Linked DNA regions of Xenopus tropicalis. The protein of the gene in region 1 interacts with the protein of each later gene in a pairwise test. Links are inferred from orthologs where the notes say so. Each region holds a gene or a part of one and is shown on either strand. Other genes may lie near its edges.

Region 1 (4,252 bases):
CATACACCAGAATGATCGCAGGGGGTTGAAAGCGAACCCCACACTTCTTTGCCATGTAGCTCATCTCCCCTTTACAGTTGGGCTGAAACAAGCAATGTAAAATTATTTTTCTTTACAACAAGTCATTATTACAGGTATGGGATCCCTTATCCGGAAACTCATTATCTAGAAAGTTCCACATTACCGGAAGGCCATCTTCCATGGACTCCATTATAAGCCAAGAATTCTAATTTTTAAAAATGATTTTTTTTTTAATCTGTAATAATAAAACTGTACCTTGTACTTGATGGGAACTAAGATATAATTAATCCTTATTGGAAGTAAAACAATCCTGTTGGGCTTATGTAATGATTAAATGATTTTTAATTTAATATACTCAGGGTATGGAGATTCAAATTACCAAAAGAACCCTTTATCTGGAAAACCCCAGGTCCCAAGCATTCTGGATAACAGGTCCTATACCTGTATTGTTAACACATATTTATGAAACACCAATGTATTCCGCAGCTTTATCATTTAAAGATTATATGATAAGGGATGTGTACTGTTTTATCTTTTACTCCTAAAACGCCAATTAAGAAGGATCCCCACAACATGATGCTTTCACCTACCTGATTTATAGTAGTATTGGTATTCTTAGGGTGCTTATAGAAATTTGTCCATGAAAATAGTTTTTTTAATTAATGGCCCATGTTTTTTTCAAATTCTTATGAGTGAAAACTATAATTAATTCTGGATATGGTGGATCTTCATAATTAAGAGGAATAGGTTTTAATATGTTAAAATTTTAATCGGACTCAGCATGTGAGGGAGAGTCAGGTTGATAAATGCTACTCTTGAAAAGATCAAGCATCTTCTTGATGTGCAAAGATACATCATCTATTGCCTATGTGATCTAACAGAAATTTTCAAGTAAACAGTGTTTTATTTAATAATTCTTTTTTGAACATATTCATATCAGAGAAAGTGTCTAATACAGCTGCACTGCTGAAGGGCAAAACCAATAATGGCAAAGCAAATGAACCCAATTCTGAAAAAAAAGTTCCAACCCCAGTGGCATCTTTGTAACTTTTAACTTCAATCCAAAATCAGATTGGTTGCAGTCAGTGTTCCACCCTGATACATTATTCAACTTTCACCAATGCTGATCAAGTTTGCCTAGATCATCCTTATATGAGGGCATAAATGAAAGATTTGTAAGGAAACATTTTTATAGGGCCAAGAACGAGTTGGCTTAGTAAGCAAAGTGACTGAAATAACTATATATGTTTAAGTAGGCTTTGTTTAACCAACTTTGCAAATTCTGAAAAGTAATCTTTTAGGCCATTGGCTCACAGGGCAACGGAAGTGAGTGTGCTGGTAAAGTTCAGGTCCAGGTAGGGGCATAGAAATGAAAATCACATGGTTGTCCATTATCCTTGCTTTCTATAAAGAGGAAGGTGAATGATCAGCTCTCAATTACAAACTGGAATTTTAAGCCAAAATATGTTTCAGAAGTTTGCATATTATTTTTTCAAATCAGCTTCAATCAGTTGAACTTTTTTTTATAAAGAAGTGGATTTTTAGGTCATTATTTTGACTAAGCCCCCTGCTCACTAATCTCCTGATAGGCAGCTATTGTGTGGTCCTGAGCCGCAAGAGATTATATAAGGAGCTTCACCCAAGTGTTCCTCACAGCCTGGAAAGTTTTTGGAAGTTGAAAATCAGCTCAAACTGCTGAGGATCGATAAATATTCCCATATTTGATCAATGATAAATCAGTCTCCAAATCTTTATTTTTGTTAATTTGAACAAAGTATCATGCCTGGGTGCTGCCTATCAAGAACTTAAACAGTCCTTTAAATCATCAGCACACTCCAAGGGCTTGTAAATAATGTTTATACCTCTATTAGTTACAGCATGGTAACTGGTGTCAATGTTTGGTTGTAACTTAAGATCACACTAAAATACACTCCCACCATTACGAGAGACTGGGGATGTATGCTCTTCCTCTGCTTCTGAAGTTTCCCTGTCTTGGAACCTAAGGCGCGCAAAAGTAGCATATAGTAGCATATAGTTGCAATGGCAACATTTTGCTGGTTAGGGACGGGTGCAGGTTGAGTTTTTCCTGACCTGCACATCACTAATACATACTGTATGCATCCCTTATTCAACTCATTCACAGACAGTTAGGAATTTTGAATAGTATACAGGTATAGGATCTTTTATCAGTAATGTTTGGCTTCTGTTGTATTCTGGGTAAGTATTTTTTTCATAATTAGGATCACCATACCTTAGGTTTGCTAAAAACTTTAAATAGACCTAATGGGATATTTTTGCAGCCAATGTGGATCTATGGACATAAGTTATAAATAAGCACAAGGTACCCCCCCCCCCCAAAAAAATGTATATGCCTATAAATCTGATTTATTTAAGGGAAAAAAAATGCCCCCAACCTCCACCACAGAGTTCCTGGGGAAATCTGGTGACGGAGCTGGGGGGGGGGGGGGGGGTGAGGATTTCACGCCATAGGCACTGCGTAAATGACTTAACATCTGCCATGTAGGGGGCGTATTTAGGTCCAGTGCCACCAGCCCTGCCTGTATGTAAACAAGTTATCCTAAAGGTTAACAACCTCTTTAATGCTAATTAACAACATTAAATATTGAAAAATAAAAGCCAATAGTGTTGTTGTGCTACAGCATGGATTTATACTTTAGTATGGTTACCATGAAGTACAAGGTTATTGCCACAAGTAGAAATAAAAAAAAAAATCCATGTTTGTATTTTGGAGCTCTCTGGGGGGAATCATTTTGCATTAACCCCAGACATCACAATAATATCACTATAGAGTATTCCCTTATCCCCTTATCCTCAGACTGGCCAATAACATAACTGCACAAATGCATGAGTATTGTGACTTTACACAGATGCTAAGAGTGATAGTTTAACAAACGACAGTCACAGACAAAATGCAGCTGGGTGCTTACAGGTTTGAGTGCAACATGCACCCTGGGCCATTTACACAGCCCCCCCACCCACTCACCAGAACCACTGGTGCCCCTATAACTTACCACGCTCACTCCTGTGCCAGGAACTGCATTGGCTTAAACAGAGAGTCTGCAGTATTGTTGCCTGTAGCAACCAATAAGCAAATAGATATGAACGGTAACTTGCAAGCTGGAAAACGAAAGCAAAGATCTGATTGGTTGCTGTGGGGGGAAGGGGGAGAGACAAGGACTCCGCGTAATCAGAGCCAAGTCTTTTTTTCCTGAAGGGAAAGCAAGTGGGGGTGGGAGCACTGGCTATTCAGTTGTTCATTAGGCGGCTGCCTTGCCCTTACCTGATCAGTCAGTCAAGCTTCCGACACCCAAAGCCACAGGGAGCGGAGATCTCAAATACTGTCTCTCTATTGTCACTGTGCGAGGTGGGGGCAGGGGGCAGCCAGCACTGTGCCTGAGCTCTTCCTTAGGGGCCTGTTGGTAACACACATTGCTCAGAGATCTGCTAAACAGCCCCACACAGACCGCATTTGTTTATTTCATGTTTTCATTGTTCAAGCCAGCCGATAACTAGTGGCTGTGTTCCCTTGTGGATTCCAATAAATGCACAAAGCGAGTGTAAATTCCTGGCCATCTGCTGTCTTCCAGTGGTTGTGGAACTGCAGTTCTCTGTTTTTGTCTGGGGGGGAAAAAAGCATCAGAAAGCACAAAGAATGGCACCTAGAAGAATATTATATATTAAACTTGTAGAGTGGGTGGGTGACTGTGGCTTTGAAACAAAAGTTTTCAAGGGAGCATAGAACGCAGTGGTGTTGGGAACTTACATAAAAATACGCACAATAATGTGGAAAAAGTGGCAAGAGGAGAGGGGATACCCCACACACATGGGACAGGGAACATATATATCTCAGTCCTTATAGTGTCTGCACTCCAAAGCTTGCAGCTTTGCGGGGTGCACAGCCATATTTTAAGTATTCAGAGATAATTATTCCGTGGCCGTCACATCCTTAAAATTTCTCAATTTTATTTAAGACATATTGTTTTAAAAGAATCTGACGTTTCGGTCCACAATAGGACCTTTCTCAAGGATACAGTAGTGTTCACGATACTTTTAAATACAATCTCAAATTCAACAAGTGGAAAAGTGCCCAATCCCCATCATCAAACTATTATACAATTAGCCAATATTCTTGTGTATGTGCAAATTCAAATGGACCAGTGTCTGACCATTTGCAGTGCATAATAGTTTAAAAAATTCATATAAATTTTAT
Region 2 (3,826 bases), about 77 Mb from region 1:
TCCAAACAGAAGCTTGAAAACCACATATTAACCTTTGAAGCCAAATCAGATTTCAATCTAAACAAGTTATCCTTTGATAATGAAGAGAGAAAAACAGAATTGGATGAAGATTATCTTGAAGGAGATTCTTTCTTTGATGATCCTATTCCAAAACCAGAGAAAACATATGGATGGTGAGAAATAGATTCTGTTGCGTTTTCAATAGATGCATTTATTTATTTATCAACACAGCAGTTCACTTTGTAACTGTTTTCTAGAGTTATCCTATAGAGAAGGCAGTTTTAAAGGAAATAATATATTCTATGGATCTCTTAGTGAATGATTTTTTATATGAACATTATGACCTCATACAAACACATGGAAAAGTGTAGTAGTAGGTTTTTTTAATGTTCCATGCAATATTGTATGTATACTGTTACATGCTGTGTAGTGAAGACATGCACAGTCTTGGTTCATTAACAGTAAGCAATATGATGTTACTTTAAAAGGATGCTATCATTAATTAATACCTAGCAATTTATTTAAAATTATAGTGCACCCGACTTGATTTGACTAAAATCAGTGTTGTAAAAGAATTTCCAGCATCTCACCAAAACACAAGGGGCATCTTACATCGCTCTGCGACCCCCAATCCATTTACATCACTGCTTCAGCCATTTCTAATTCATCTGTGTGTTGGGTATATCATGGGGTCATTTATTGCAACAAATGTAATTTGAAATCAGTTATCACATTTGATGAGTGTGACTTTAAAGTTTTTTTTGTGTCACTAACATTTTGGGACTAAAGCCTTGCCTCCTCCTCCCCCCCCCCCCCCCCCCCCCATCCAGTGTTACGTTCCTGTGGGGACTCTGACATTGCTTTAGCCATATTTAGACAAAGGACAGTGTAGTAGTACATTTTTTCGGGTTTTTCTAGTGCAAGTGTCATTTTTATCCTCTTTCCTCTAATGCTGATCCATTAACATGTGGAAAAAAGTGCTGAAGGAGCGGATGTTTCATTAAAAACAGGAGTCAGTTCAAATTCCACAGAAAGGTGAGAGACTCTCTTGGTGTGCCATATTAATCCTTGTTACCATTCCTATCAGTAGTTTCATCTGGCAGCTTTTATTTTGCCTACAGAGCTGTCTTTGCCAATCATAATCATTTCTTGAGTTTTGGTGATACATTTCCCTTTTTATTAGGAAAAGTGACCCCCCTAAGCATGGTGGAAGTGTTCCTGCTCATGCAACTTTGCCTCCATTAAAAACAGAAACAAGTTCCCGCTTTGGATCACTTAGCACCAGAGAATCTGACCGTAAGCTAAATTTCTACTTTTTGCATAATGGAAATATACTGTATGTGAAACTCTGTTTTCAGTTCTGACAAATGTCAGTTGTATGGTACAGTTCTGAATTGTTATTTTACAAACGGTATACAATACATTTAAAAATACCTTACATTTTTATAGAGGCAAGATGTATGTATGTATGTATGTATAACTTTATTTATAAAGCGCCACAAGGGTACTCAGCGCTGTACAGTCTTACAGAATACAAAATTACACACAGAGAGGACAAGTGATATAATAAATAAATTCAATAAATACATATATGTAAACATATATATATATAAGTGCCATGTGGTATGAGACACAGTAGGAAGGAGGTCCCTGCCCCGTAGAGCTTACAATCTGAGTGGTTCGGTAACATACAGGCACAAACTGGAAGGTAAGAGTGCATCAGGTATGGGCATTTGCCCTTAAGCGCAGGACTGGGCAAAATTAATGTCTTAGTGCTCCAGAAGGTAACAGCTAAGTGCTCCAGAAGGTAACAGCTAAGTTTTTTTCTTAAAGAGAGTGGGTGAGTTTTCCCTACGGAGGGATTCAGGGATAGAGTTCCAGAGGTAAGGAGCAGCGAGATAGAAAGGTTTAAGATGAGAGAGCGCAGTGGGTGTGGATGGTGTAAAGAGACGGAGGCTCTGAGAGGAGCGGAGGAGACGACCAGGAACATGTAGGGGGACCAGTGAAGAAATGTAGTGAGGAGCAGAGGAGTGAAGGGCTTTGAATGTCAGCAGAAGGATTTTGTAAGCTATCCTTTGCTTGACAGGCAGCCATGCTAGTGAGCTTAATTGAGACTGAGCAGGATCCCTCTTAGGAGAGAGCAGGAGGATCCTGGCAGCAGAGTTTAAGATTGATTGCAGGGGAGAGAGGTGGGAGTCTGGGAGGCCGGTTAGTAGGAGTAAGATCCATGTATTTACCTTTACTCATGATCACAAATAGGACTTTTATTTAATAAACTGTTTTTTAAGTTACATTTTTTTGTTTGTTTTTTTTTTTTGATGTTATAAAGCACAGGTTGTTGAGAGGGGGATTATTTCAGAAATAATGATTTTTTTATTAATTAGAATTAGGAAGTTTCTTATTTCCTAATTTCCATATTAAAATGGGTGTTTTACTTGTAAAGACCAACCTACTGCTCACCATCTCCAAGGGAAAAAAACTCCAAGCAGTTATAGAGAATCCATTGAAGGCAAGTCTGGCAAGTCTATGGAATGTTTATGCAAGAGCAAGCTTTGAATGAAATCGAGCTACAAACATTCTAAAGCAAAGTTCTTTATCTTGGGCTTATTTGTTTACATCGATTGCTGTTTCTCCTCAATGGTTTTTGTTTAAAAAGTTAAAATCATCTAATTGTAGATTTAAAAAAAAAAAAAAAAGATAAAAAGCCAAATAAAGCAAGATTTTTCTATTCTGTTTTAGTCAAACGTGACCATCAGTAAAAGTAATTTTAATACTAAGGGTCTCACAACCTTTTGCTGCATTCTAAGTTCAAATAAAGGATAAGAAATGGCATGCAGTAAAGTTGCCTGTTTGGTTTTTTAGACTTACTATGTTAAACAAGGACTTTCCTTTCACAAAAGAACTTGTAAAAATATTTCCTGTATCATGGGTTGGATTAGTTTATGTGGCTATTAACTGAAAAAGTACATATTTTTGCATTAATGTTCCTTTTATTTCCCTTTTCAAAGGAACTGGTGATGAAGATGATGACTACATTGATGATTTCAACAGGTAAAATCCGAAGAACACTATTTTTCTGCTAGTTAGTTATGACCTATATGTGCACGCCCATTTTTTACTGTAACAGTATGACAGTATGTCTGTTTAGTTAGAAGGGCAAGTGATTGTAAAAACTGATGTTACTTGTTTTTTACTTAACATATATTGTTAATTTCTCATTTGAAAAATGTTGTCTTTTTTTTTTTCTTTTAGCACCAGTCAGCGGTCAGATAAAAGTGACGTTAGTATTGGTGAGGAAATAGAAGAAGAAGAATTATCTGTAGATGATTTCATTGGTAGTGAAAAGGTAATAGTCCTTTTCTGTTTCTTAGCACCTGTCTTGTGCATTGTAACTAGTAACAGTGGATGTGGTTAAACTAAATGTAAACCACAGAGCTTTAGTTTGATGTATATGCCCTTATGTTGTACATTACAAGAATATGTTGCTGCTTATTAATGTACATTAATAATAATTAAAACAATAAGAATAGTGAGTAACTTAGTGAGTATACCACAGCCCTCTTTTTATAGAGTATGATTTTTCATAACTGATCCATGCTCCATCTGCTTTTGTTTTCATGAGTAAAGTTTGTTTATCTTTAATTGTTTATTTGCAAGATAAAGCCATTTTTTCAGCAGTATGACTGTTGCAAGGCAATCTTTAACTGAATGAGGGAATCTGAAGTATATGGTTATTTATAGCACCATTTGCACTTTTATGTGTTATATAGGCTGCCAGTGCAATTAATGATATTCAAATAAGTGAAGAAGAGACAGAGCTTGCACG

What was found.
Region 2: the proteins of cep19 (region 1) and fgfr1op interact in binary tests that used the Homo sapiens proteins (3 or more experiments, as listed by UniProt). The two-hybrid records come from large-scale screens. The link is inferred for Xenopus tropicalis from reciprocal best matches to the Homo sapiens genes CEP19 and CEP43.

Annotation. Positions count from the first base shown.
Region 1 is NC_030681.2:133,902,165-133,906,416, forward strand, and holds the start of cep19 (centrosomal protein of 19 kDa), read right to left. Parts: upstream 3,096-4,252; 5' UTR 3,054-3,095; intron 2,043-3,053; exon of another isoform or gene 1,884-2,042; intron 83-1,883; 5' UTR 65-82; coding exon 1-64. UniProt on the Homo sapiens protein: Required for ciliation. Recruits the RABL2B GTPase to the ciliary base to initiate ciliation.
Region 2 is NC_030681.2:56,934,740-56,938,565, reverse strand, and holds part of fgfr1op (FGFR1 oncogene partner), read left to right. Parts: coding exon 1-173; intron 174-978; coding exon of another isoform or gene 979-1,035; intron 1,036-1,183; coding exon 1,184-1,296; intron 1,297-3,008; coding exon 3,009-3,051; intron 3,052-3,252; coding exon 3,253-3,346; intron 3,347-3,826. UniProt on the Homo sapiens protein: Required for anchoring microtubules to the centrosomes. Required for ciliation.